Linked DNA regions of Oryza sativa Japonica Group. The protein of the gene in region 1 interacts with the protein of each later gene in a pairwise test. Links are inferred from orthologs where the notes say so. Each region holds a gene or a part of one and is shown in the gene's direction. Other genes may lie near its edges.

Region 1 (4,346 bases):
TTGAAGAAACCTTAGACTTTAGATATCTGATCATGCTAATATAAAATGTGTTTACCACTAGTTAAATGCATGATCACATCCTGAAGTTTCATGCATTTTCTTATAGAAGGCATCCTGAAGTTTTTTTAGTGTGTTCAAAGAGATCAAGAATATTTACTGTTAGATTGGACCGGGTGATTACTTATTTTCCCTGTTTGATGAGCCTAATACAATTTCCCTGGATCAAAATATGCAGGCCATGGTTCATGCATTTTTGCAGGAAGGTGAGTCCTTTCTCGATATTTTTGTGCTAACGGTTCTACATTTTTTTTTTGGCTCTACGTCCTGATGCAGTGTTGGTTCTTCTTGCAGCACTGGCTCCAATGGCAGCAACGGTGGTGCGGCGTCTGGGCCCGTAAGCCCAGACAATTTTGCTACACAAATTCACTCGTGCTGGTTGACTCACCTAATTACATTGCTGTCTATCATGGTGTTCATGTAAAACCCTGTAAAAAAATGATGCGTTTTGGATGAGATGCCCGAAATTTATTGTGGATCTTGTCAGTAGGAGTGTAGGAGGCCATATTTGTCTTAGATGTATTGAGGTTAGATGGCATGTGTTTCTCAAAATTCGTTGACCTAGAGAAAGGAGTCAAATACATCAATTTTGAATGCCAGGCTGGGAGTATTGAATTGTGGAAACCTTCTTTTCTGAAATGTTTGTATGACTCAAAAAGTGTTTTGTGCTCCCTGCATATCGCTTCAGTACTGAAACTGTCACTCTTGTTGAGTAACAGTGTTTTTCTCTCAGACTCACTAATATTTTTTTTCTTCTAAATTTATACTCTTGTTGAGTACTACATGTTTGTTAAGTTTTTTTTTTGGTCTCATGTAGCAGATGCAAAAATGTCTGGCCTGGTTTGTACAATGAAGAATTAAGTCCTACATAAAAATTTCTACGTTCTAAAGCAGTCCATATGTTACAGTTACATGGCACCGAAATTTATTTATGGTTTTTCAGGGTTGGATTTATGTGTGGTCAGTTTAAAATTTGAGTACTTGGTCGCTTTTGGCCCATTATTACTGGCAATACTGGAACAGCAAAAATGGATTTATAAGAGTATATGTGGAGCTATCAGGCTGTCACGCAGAATAAAAGCACGTCTCAAATCAGTTTCTCTCAAATTTTAGTTTTCATATTTTGTACTCCCGTCTAAAAAAACCACTGTAGGTGGCGATTTAACTCCACATAAAATTTCTGAACATATGTTGCAAATTCTCCTCTAGTTTGGTTTTTAAGATGGATAGAGTAATTTATATTGAAATGCAATTACTTCCTCCGTTTCACCTCCGTTTCACAATGTGAATGTGAGAAATGCTAGAATGACTTATATTGTGAAACAGACATCAATATGAATATGAGAAATGCTAGAATGACTTATGTTGTGAAATGGAGGGAGTAGTATTTTACACTGAACATCACAACAATTATGAAAAATAAATAAATAAATTCGCACCTCCCCTCATCGTCCCGTCACTCCCTCTAACCTTTCCCCTCTCCGCCGCTCTCCCCCCACTCCGGCGTCGCTCTCCATCCCCCCACCACCGCCGGCGGCGCCGCTCCCCCTCACCCCCAAGGCCAAGTCGTAAGCCAGCCGTCGAGGCCATGTCGTCGTCTTCCTCCTCCTTCCCGACCTCTCGCTCCCCTTTCCCCGCCGGCGCCGGCGCCGGCACCAGCGGGGGCGGAGGAGGAGGAGGAGGGGGCTCCGGCGGCGGAGGTGGGGGTGGAAGATGGAGCGGCGTGCGCCCCTGGGGCTCCAGCGGCGGCACGTCGGTGTCGTCGTCGGGGAAGCGGATTCAGAAGGAGCTGATGGACCTCAACGCCTCCGACTGCTCCGCCGGCCCTAAGGGCGACAACCTCTACCACTGGCTCTCCACCATCATCGGACCTCAGGGTATCATCGCCCTTCCCCCTCTCCGCTTACTCCCCCCTGCTAGCAGCAGCCGATAAAGCTCGTGCGAATTTTACTGCGGCTCTGCGAATTTCACTAGTTGAAATCGCGGTTTTTTTTTTTTCAAGTTTGGAATTAGGGTGTGGAGTGTAGAGTGAACTAGTCTTATGACCACCTTCACTTTGCTGATCTAATGCAGTGCTCATCTTGTAGGATCTCCGTATGAAGGAGGGATATTTTTCCTCGATATTGTATTCCCAATTGACTATCCGTTTAAACCTCCCATGGTAAGAACTAAGAATTAGCTTCTTTTTTTTTTTTCTGTTTGCTTAAATGGGCTGTTGGTTATGAGGTGTCTGGCTTTCTACGAGATCATATAGAAGCTTAAGTTGTAACTTGACATTTTCTCTCCTTGTCTGTGTGCATTCTACCTAATGCTGTGATTCATGAGTGATCATATCGCTGTTATTGGAACAAATATCTAGAATAAATATGGCATTCCCTTCAGTAACTATTGATAGACGACTATTGATTTACCGCGTGGAAGTGTGGTTAAGGTAACATGGGAAATGCTTGCATCCAAAGAAATGTTTTTAAGAGACATGCGCATGTCTAAAATCTTGAAGAAGTGGAATAGAAATTCAAATAGGATGGATAATTGGTTGGGATAATATTGTTGTATAGCTAGTTCTACTTCACTATGTGAACAGGGTATTACAAAAGTGATGAACATTGGTATGTTTAGTAAATGCATAGGGTATTTTGTTTCAAAAGTCTACCTTCACCGGACTTCTTTTAGTTTCTTCAAAATAAGTGTATGATCTATGCATTTTAGCCTGGAAGGGGTTTGAAAATGTGTCGAGTTGTCTGCAAGGATTAAGATTCATCCTAAAATGGAATATCTCATGAATCTTTTTGGGGACAAGGAATGCTTCTGTTCAAGGGCTAACTCAGCAAACAGTGTGATGATTAGAAGGGCATAGATAACAAAAGAGATTATGTTAAAGCTAGTTTATTTTGTTATTAATTAAAGCGACCTGCGTTCTTTTTAAGGTAAGCACCATTTACCTCTTTTCAATATGATCTTGATTATTTATGAAGAAAACTTATCTGAAGTCTGTTTTATGCTTAGTGTTCAAGAAAATAACTGCGCAGAGTTTCTAAAATGTTGTTTTCCTAGACATCCCCTGTTTTGGTTGATAGTGCTGTGTTAAAATTTTACAGAGAAAGGTTTTGTCCATTGGAAGCCTAATGTGCTTGGGCATCACCTTCATCCTATGTCAATATACTATTTGCATAGTAGTCTGGTAAAAAAATGAGCCTTCTAAATGCAGATTTTTGGTCCATTTAGTGTTGACATTGACTAATCAGTATACACCTGCTGGCTGTAGCCTACACAGCCCTACATGATCACCTGCTTCATGGTTTGTTGGTTGCTAAGACAGTAAGACTGTTACTGTCTTTGCCCAGCTATTACCATCAACTTATAATTCCTTGATGGGAGGTAGGATATGAAGGATCCGAACAACCAACCTCCATTTCTGCTCTTCAGTATTTGATGGAGCATCTGGAATTCTCCCCCATTCTCTAGATAGCAGTGCTGGAAGCCTAGGGCAATGCTAGGACTGATTTGACCTAACACACAGCCCTGCAGTGGTCTACCTTTTACCTTAACCAGCACATGGAACCATGCAAACATCAATACAGTCCAACATGGCAATCATATTAATTCTGCTAATGCTACACTCCATATAATTTGGCAATAGTAAGTGAATTTCTCAAGTTTTTGTAGAGTGGATAGCACACTCATAATACAGAGGAAATACACATGGGCTGGCAATTGTGGCTTGATTTGATGTTTCAGTAATTAATAATATGGAAGGTAATACACTCTTCCAGTTGAACATGCTAAAATTTCAATATTGAAGGAACAGCAATTTCAATGTTTATATAGAAGTATGAAACAATTGAGATCCACTGCTGTAATTTTATCCGATATTTCGGTATTAGGGGACCTCAATTCGTGGTTACAAGTTATAACTGTTCTGTCACTGTGCTAGGTAACTTTCAAGACAAGGATTTATCACTGCAATGTTGACTCCACTGGTAACTTGAGTATGGACATTTTAAGGGAAGGATGGAGTCCTGCTTTAACTATTTCAAAGGTGCTACTTGCCATTAAAGCCATCATAACAAACCCAGATCCATGTAAGTTCCAAGTTACAGTATGATCACAATTGTTCTGTTTCTGCACTATCTTCCATGATAAAACATGCAGTCCTGTTTAAACTATGTAATATACACATAATTTTTGCTTCATTTCATCTTGATAACTTCATATTATGATTGTTTTTTCCGTGCAGACTGCCCACTTGTGCCGAGCATTGGACATTTATACTTGACTGATAGAACTAA
Region 2 (4,386 bases), on another chromosome or scaffold:
GCATACAGGTGAAGAATCATCCTGTAAAGGAACAACCACATGACTCTGTAGGGACAGCGATCCTTTCAAAATCACCCAAGCTTGAAGTATGCATTTCTTGAACGTGCAGCAGTCCTTTTATGCCTTTCAGTTAGATGGCATTCTAACTTCCTTTGTGTTTTCATAGGCAAATTTCTCTAGAGCGGCTGCTGCCCTCAGCAGGGCTCAAGCAAAGAAGGTCAAGCGGTTCCTTCCGAACCCAGAACGTCATTGGGGTCCCAAAATCAGAGCTGGTCGGAAGATTACAAGTAAACATGCTTCTCTGTTAGGTCCAGACGTTGTCAACCGTGTTATCAACGGTGCTGCCAGCACCGAAGATGAAAAGGTGGCCGAGCCAAATAATCCAACGACAGAAACCGGAGGAGATGCAACGAATGAAGAGGATGAACCTTCAACAAAGCGCCAAAAAAACGGCGATGTTGGATTGGCAACCGAACCTTAATTGTCACTGAACCTGAGCACGTTTCGCTTTCACCACTCAATTCTTCCATGTTTGTAATGCTTCACTTTTCTTGAGGGTGTGACTGATGGGTATATCTATCAGCTGTGTTGCTAAACGGTTTTTAGCAATGAATTTTGATCGCGAAAAATCTGTTGTCATATTTTGCGCTTCTGGCCAAGCTTATTCAGTGTGCCTGCTGAGCGAGAAATGGTGAGGAAACGGGTGAAGACTATGGGATGCAATGCAATTGTTTTTTTTTTGTGCGCTTAAATTGGACGGGTTTCATTTTGTATTATTCTTCTGCCTGAACCTTTTTGTAACTTCTGTGGGTGCATTCCTTCCCTGTACCAAAGGCTGAGGCAATGATCGCGAATCCGGCGAATCAGACAGAAAGACGACGAAGACAGGTAGGGTATTTGCGTGTGAATGGATTCTAATCCCTGAACACAACTTAATTTATATCTTTCTCTTCTCTCTTCCAAATTTAATGTAGATAGTTACAAAAAATTCTAAAAGGAATTAACAACATACATAACGGTGTCTATGGGTATAAAAATTAAGTTTAAATTCGATCAGATGTAAACAATAGCTATTAGTCATACCTGAATTTGTCTTTTTTTTTTAACATTTTGATGCGTGAGTTGAGTTTTTTTTTTAACATTTCGATGCGTGAGTTGAGTCTGTACGTGAGATTTTGTGAGGTTGTACAGTAGGCATGTAGTACAAGTGTTGCTAATTTTTTTATAACCGTTTGGATGAATTTTTTGAACAAACGAAAGAAGATCCCGTCAAAGGGATGAAGATTATAGTTCTCCATATCTGACTGCGCGTGGATATCTCGAATTCTCGATCTCGAGTTCTCGACAGAAGGCAGAGGCGGCGAGGGCAAGGCGGCGGCAACAGAATTGGGCTAATGAGAACAAAAGGAAACTGGGCCGCGTGGAACTCCAGGCCCACATTCTCACTCTTAATTTGGGCCGCTACGGCCTCGCAAATCCCACCTAATAAAAAATAAAAAAAAGAAAAAGAAAAAGGAAAAAAAAGAAAAAAAAGAAAAGAAAAGGGGAAACCCTTCCTCCCCCAACCCGATCTCTCTCTCTCTAGTCTCCACTCCCCCACCTCCTCCTCGCCGGCGTGCGGCGGCCTCACCCCCAAAACCCCGGCGCGCCGCCACCTACCACCCATCCTACCCCGGGCCTCGCCGCCGCCGCCGGTGCGGCCGCGCCATGCGCTTCGGCATCTGATTCATGTCTCACCCCCACGCCACCGCCCCCAAGCGCCCCGGCCACTTCTCCTCCTCCTCCGCCGCCGCCTCCTCCCCGACCTCCCCCGCGCAGCCGCACATGAAGAAGGCCAAGTTCCCCGGCTCCTCCTCCTCCTCCTCCTCCGCCGCCGCCCCCGGGGTCACCGAGAAGAACGGGCTCCACGTCGATCCCACGGCCGCCGCCGCCCGGACCGGTGGGCGCACCAACGGCGAGGAGGATGCGGAGATGGTGCTCGCCGACCAGGAGGAGCTCGCCGCTCCGAGCGCATCGGCCCCGGCGGGGGTCGCCGCCAACCTCTTCCGGAAGAAGGCCACACTCCCCCAGCCATCCGCCGCCCGCAAGCCCCTCCGAATCAAAATAGGTCCCTCTCTTTCACTGTAATTGCACGTTTTCCATGTGAGAATACATCATCGAGGGGTTTCGGGGGTAAATTGAGGGGAATTCTATTGTTCCTCTCAGTGTGTTCACTTGCCCGCTTGCGTCGTTAACTTAAATTCCAATAATAGGGAGGGATTGAGGTGGTGTTCGTTAGCCCTTTCGTCAAATGGATCGCTTCGTCACACACTTCTGTTTTCTATTTACTAATTGGCGTGTCTATTTGTAAAGAGGAATTTGGCTAGACACTTGGACTATTTTGGGGGAAATTGATAATTGCTAGGGTAACTAATGATTTCGTCAGCAACAATCCGTCTAGTTTCTCTTGAGATATATATGTATGTTCAATTCCTTGTAATTGCTTGTTTATCTTGGCTTGCTTTGTTGGGCGTGAATATGCATCAAGGATTTCTGCCTTTTTTAATGCAGTTGACAAGTGAGCTTGGGCATAGTTGTATGGTTCTTCTGACTTCCTGCTCCCCATTTGGTCGTATTGCACCATATGAGCTGGCTTCTAGCTAGATTGCTTAAAAGTTGACACTCTTTTGTCTCTTTATTGGGTGTAACTGTCGGTATTTATTGGAAGCTTTGCTTCGCATCTCCAGTATGTGACCTTCTCTAGTCTTCAGGAGAAAGCTGAAAATCCGTTTCTGTGCAATGGATGTTGCAGTGGCTCTAACCTTTAATATCTATTCATTTCTGAGTCATATATAATAATAATCCCTGCACCAGTCACTATTCACTAATCAGTACCCACCATAACTAACTAGTAACCTGTATAAGAAAATTCAGAAGGCCATATGTTCTTTCTTAGATAATAGACCCCTGGGATCTTCTGGATGTATTTTTTGCAACCCTTTGGCGTGATTGGCAAATGAGATTGGGAAATAATATCCACCCATAAAAAATGCAACACTGCATCCTAGCCATCCATTCTAACCACTCCATTTCATTGTAGCCCTTCACTCATTTCCCTTTCCCGATCCCACCTCTCATAACCCATTTGCCGAACAAGAACTAAAGATTTACTCCCACCCCGGAATTCGTCTCTTGTTGCATCCCTTTTCTGTTTTGTTCATTATATCCCATCTGTTTTTCATGTATCAGGTCAGCCAAAATTGCCAACAAACTTTGAGGAGGATACATGGGCTATTTTGAAAGATGCTATTACAGCTATATTTCTAAAACAGAAACTTTCGTGCGATGTTGAAAAACTTTACCAGGTAATTTTTATATTGCTTCTATTCTATTTGATGATCCCACTTTAGTTATTTAGAACTTGTTTTCTTCACTATAGGCTGCAGGTGACCTTTGTCTACACAAGCTAGGCGCAAATCTATACGAACGCATAAAGAAAGAATGTGAAGTACACATATCGGCAAAAATATCAGCATTAGTGGGTCAAAGTCCAGATTTAGTAGTATTTTTGTCTCTGGTGCAAAGAACATGGCAAGATTTTTGCGATCAGATGTTGATTATTCGTGGTATTGCTTTACTTCTTGATGTAAAATATGTCAAGAATGTTGCAAACATTTGTTCAGTGTGGGACATGGGGTTGAAGCTATTCCGCAAGCATCTTTCACTGTCTCCGGAGATTGAACACAAAACTGTTACTGGTCTTCTAAGATTAATTGAGAGTGAGAGGTATGCCTACTCTGCTGTACTGAGCCATGTTGTGTGCATTACCTGTCTTATTGTGTGTGTGTGTGTGTGTTTTTTTTTTGGGGGGGGGGGTGGGGGTGGGCGTAAACATGGAATGATGAAAATTTGTAATGCATGTTCTGATTCACTTGGGAATTGTTCAGAGATCTGGGTTGAATGGTCAACTGTAAAAAGTACCCTTATCAGACTTAGTGCAATGTATTGTATACTCCATTACATATCAAAGAGTAATCAGTTTACTTGAGAAAAGTTTTGTCATTGCATTTACCTTGTGTGATGTAGCTGGCGATCATAGTGTATGTATTGGGTCCATTTTAAATTATTAAAATTGTGGACTTGAAGGGTCAATTTATTTTATATTCTTCTATGTAACTGATTATTCATTAACCATCTCTTCCTTATCAGGCTTGGTGAAGCAATAGACAGGACATTACTTAGTCATCTTCTGAAGATGTTTACTGCTCTTGGAATGTATTCTGAGAGTTTTGAAAAGCCCTTTCTGGAGTGTACATCTGAATTTTATGCTACTGAAGGTGTTAAATATTTGCAGCAGTCTGATATTCCAGACTATCTCAAGCATGTGGAGGTATTGATAAACCTCTT

What was found.
Region 2: the proteins of constitutive photomorphogenesis protein 10 (region 1) and cullin-4 interact in binary tests that used the Arabidopsis thaliana proteins (3 or more experiments, as listed by UniProt). The link is inferred for Oryza sativa Japonica Group from reciprocal best matches to the Arabidopsis thaliana genes FUS9 and CUL4.

The regions. Positions count from the first base shown.
Region 1 is NC_089041.1:23,577,337-23,581,682, forward strand, and holds the start of constitutive photomorphogenesis protein 10, read left to right. Parts: upstream 1-1,524; 5' UTR 1,525-1,645; coding exon 1,646-1,934; intron 1,935-2,144; coding exon 2,145-2,218; intron 2,219-3,991; coding exon 3,992-4,139; intron 4,140-4,294; coding exon 4,295-4,346. Other genes in the region: glucan endo-1,3-beta-glucosidase 4, read left to right, coding at 236-263, 352-481. UniProt on the Arabidopsis thaliana protein: Component of light signal transduction machinery. Involved in repression of photomorphogenesis in darkness by participating in the CDD complex, a complex probably required to regulate the activity of ubiquitin conjugating enzymes (E2s).
Region 2 is NC_089037.1:33,642,094-33,646,479, forward strand, and holds the start of cullin-4, read left to right. Parts: upstream 1-1,568; 5' UTR 1,569-1,728; coding exon 1,729-2,107; intron 2,108-3,228; coding exon 3,229-3,344; intron 3,345-3,418; coding exon 3,419-3,765; intron 3,766-4,188; coding exon 4,189-4,369; intron 4,370-4,386. Other genes in the region: tRNA (guanine(26)-N(2))-dimethyltransferase 1, read left to right, coding at 9-86, 167-481. UniProt on the Arabidopsis thaliana protein: Component of the CUL4-RBX1-CDD (COP10-DDB1a-DET1) E3 ubiquitin-protein ligase complex which mediates the ubiquitination and subsequent proteasomal degradation of target proteins. Participates in the CDD complex to light-mediated control of development.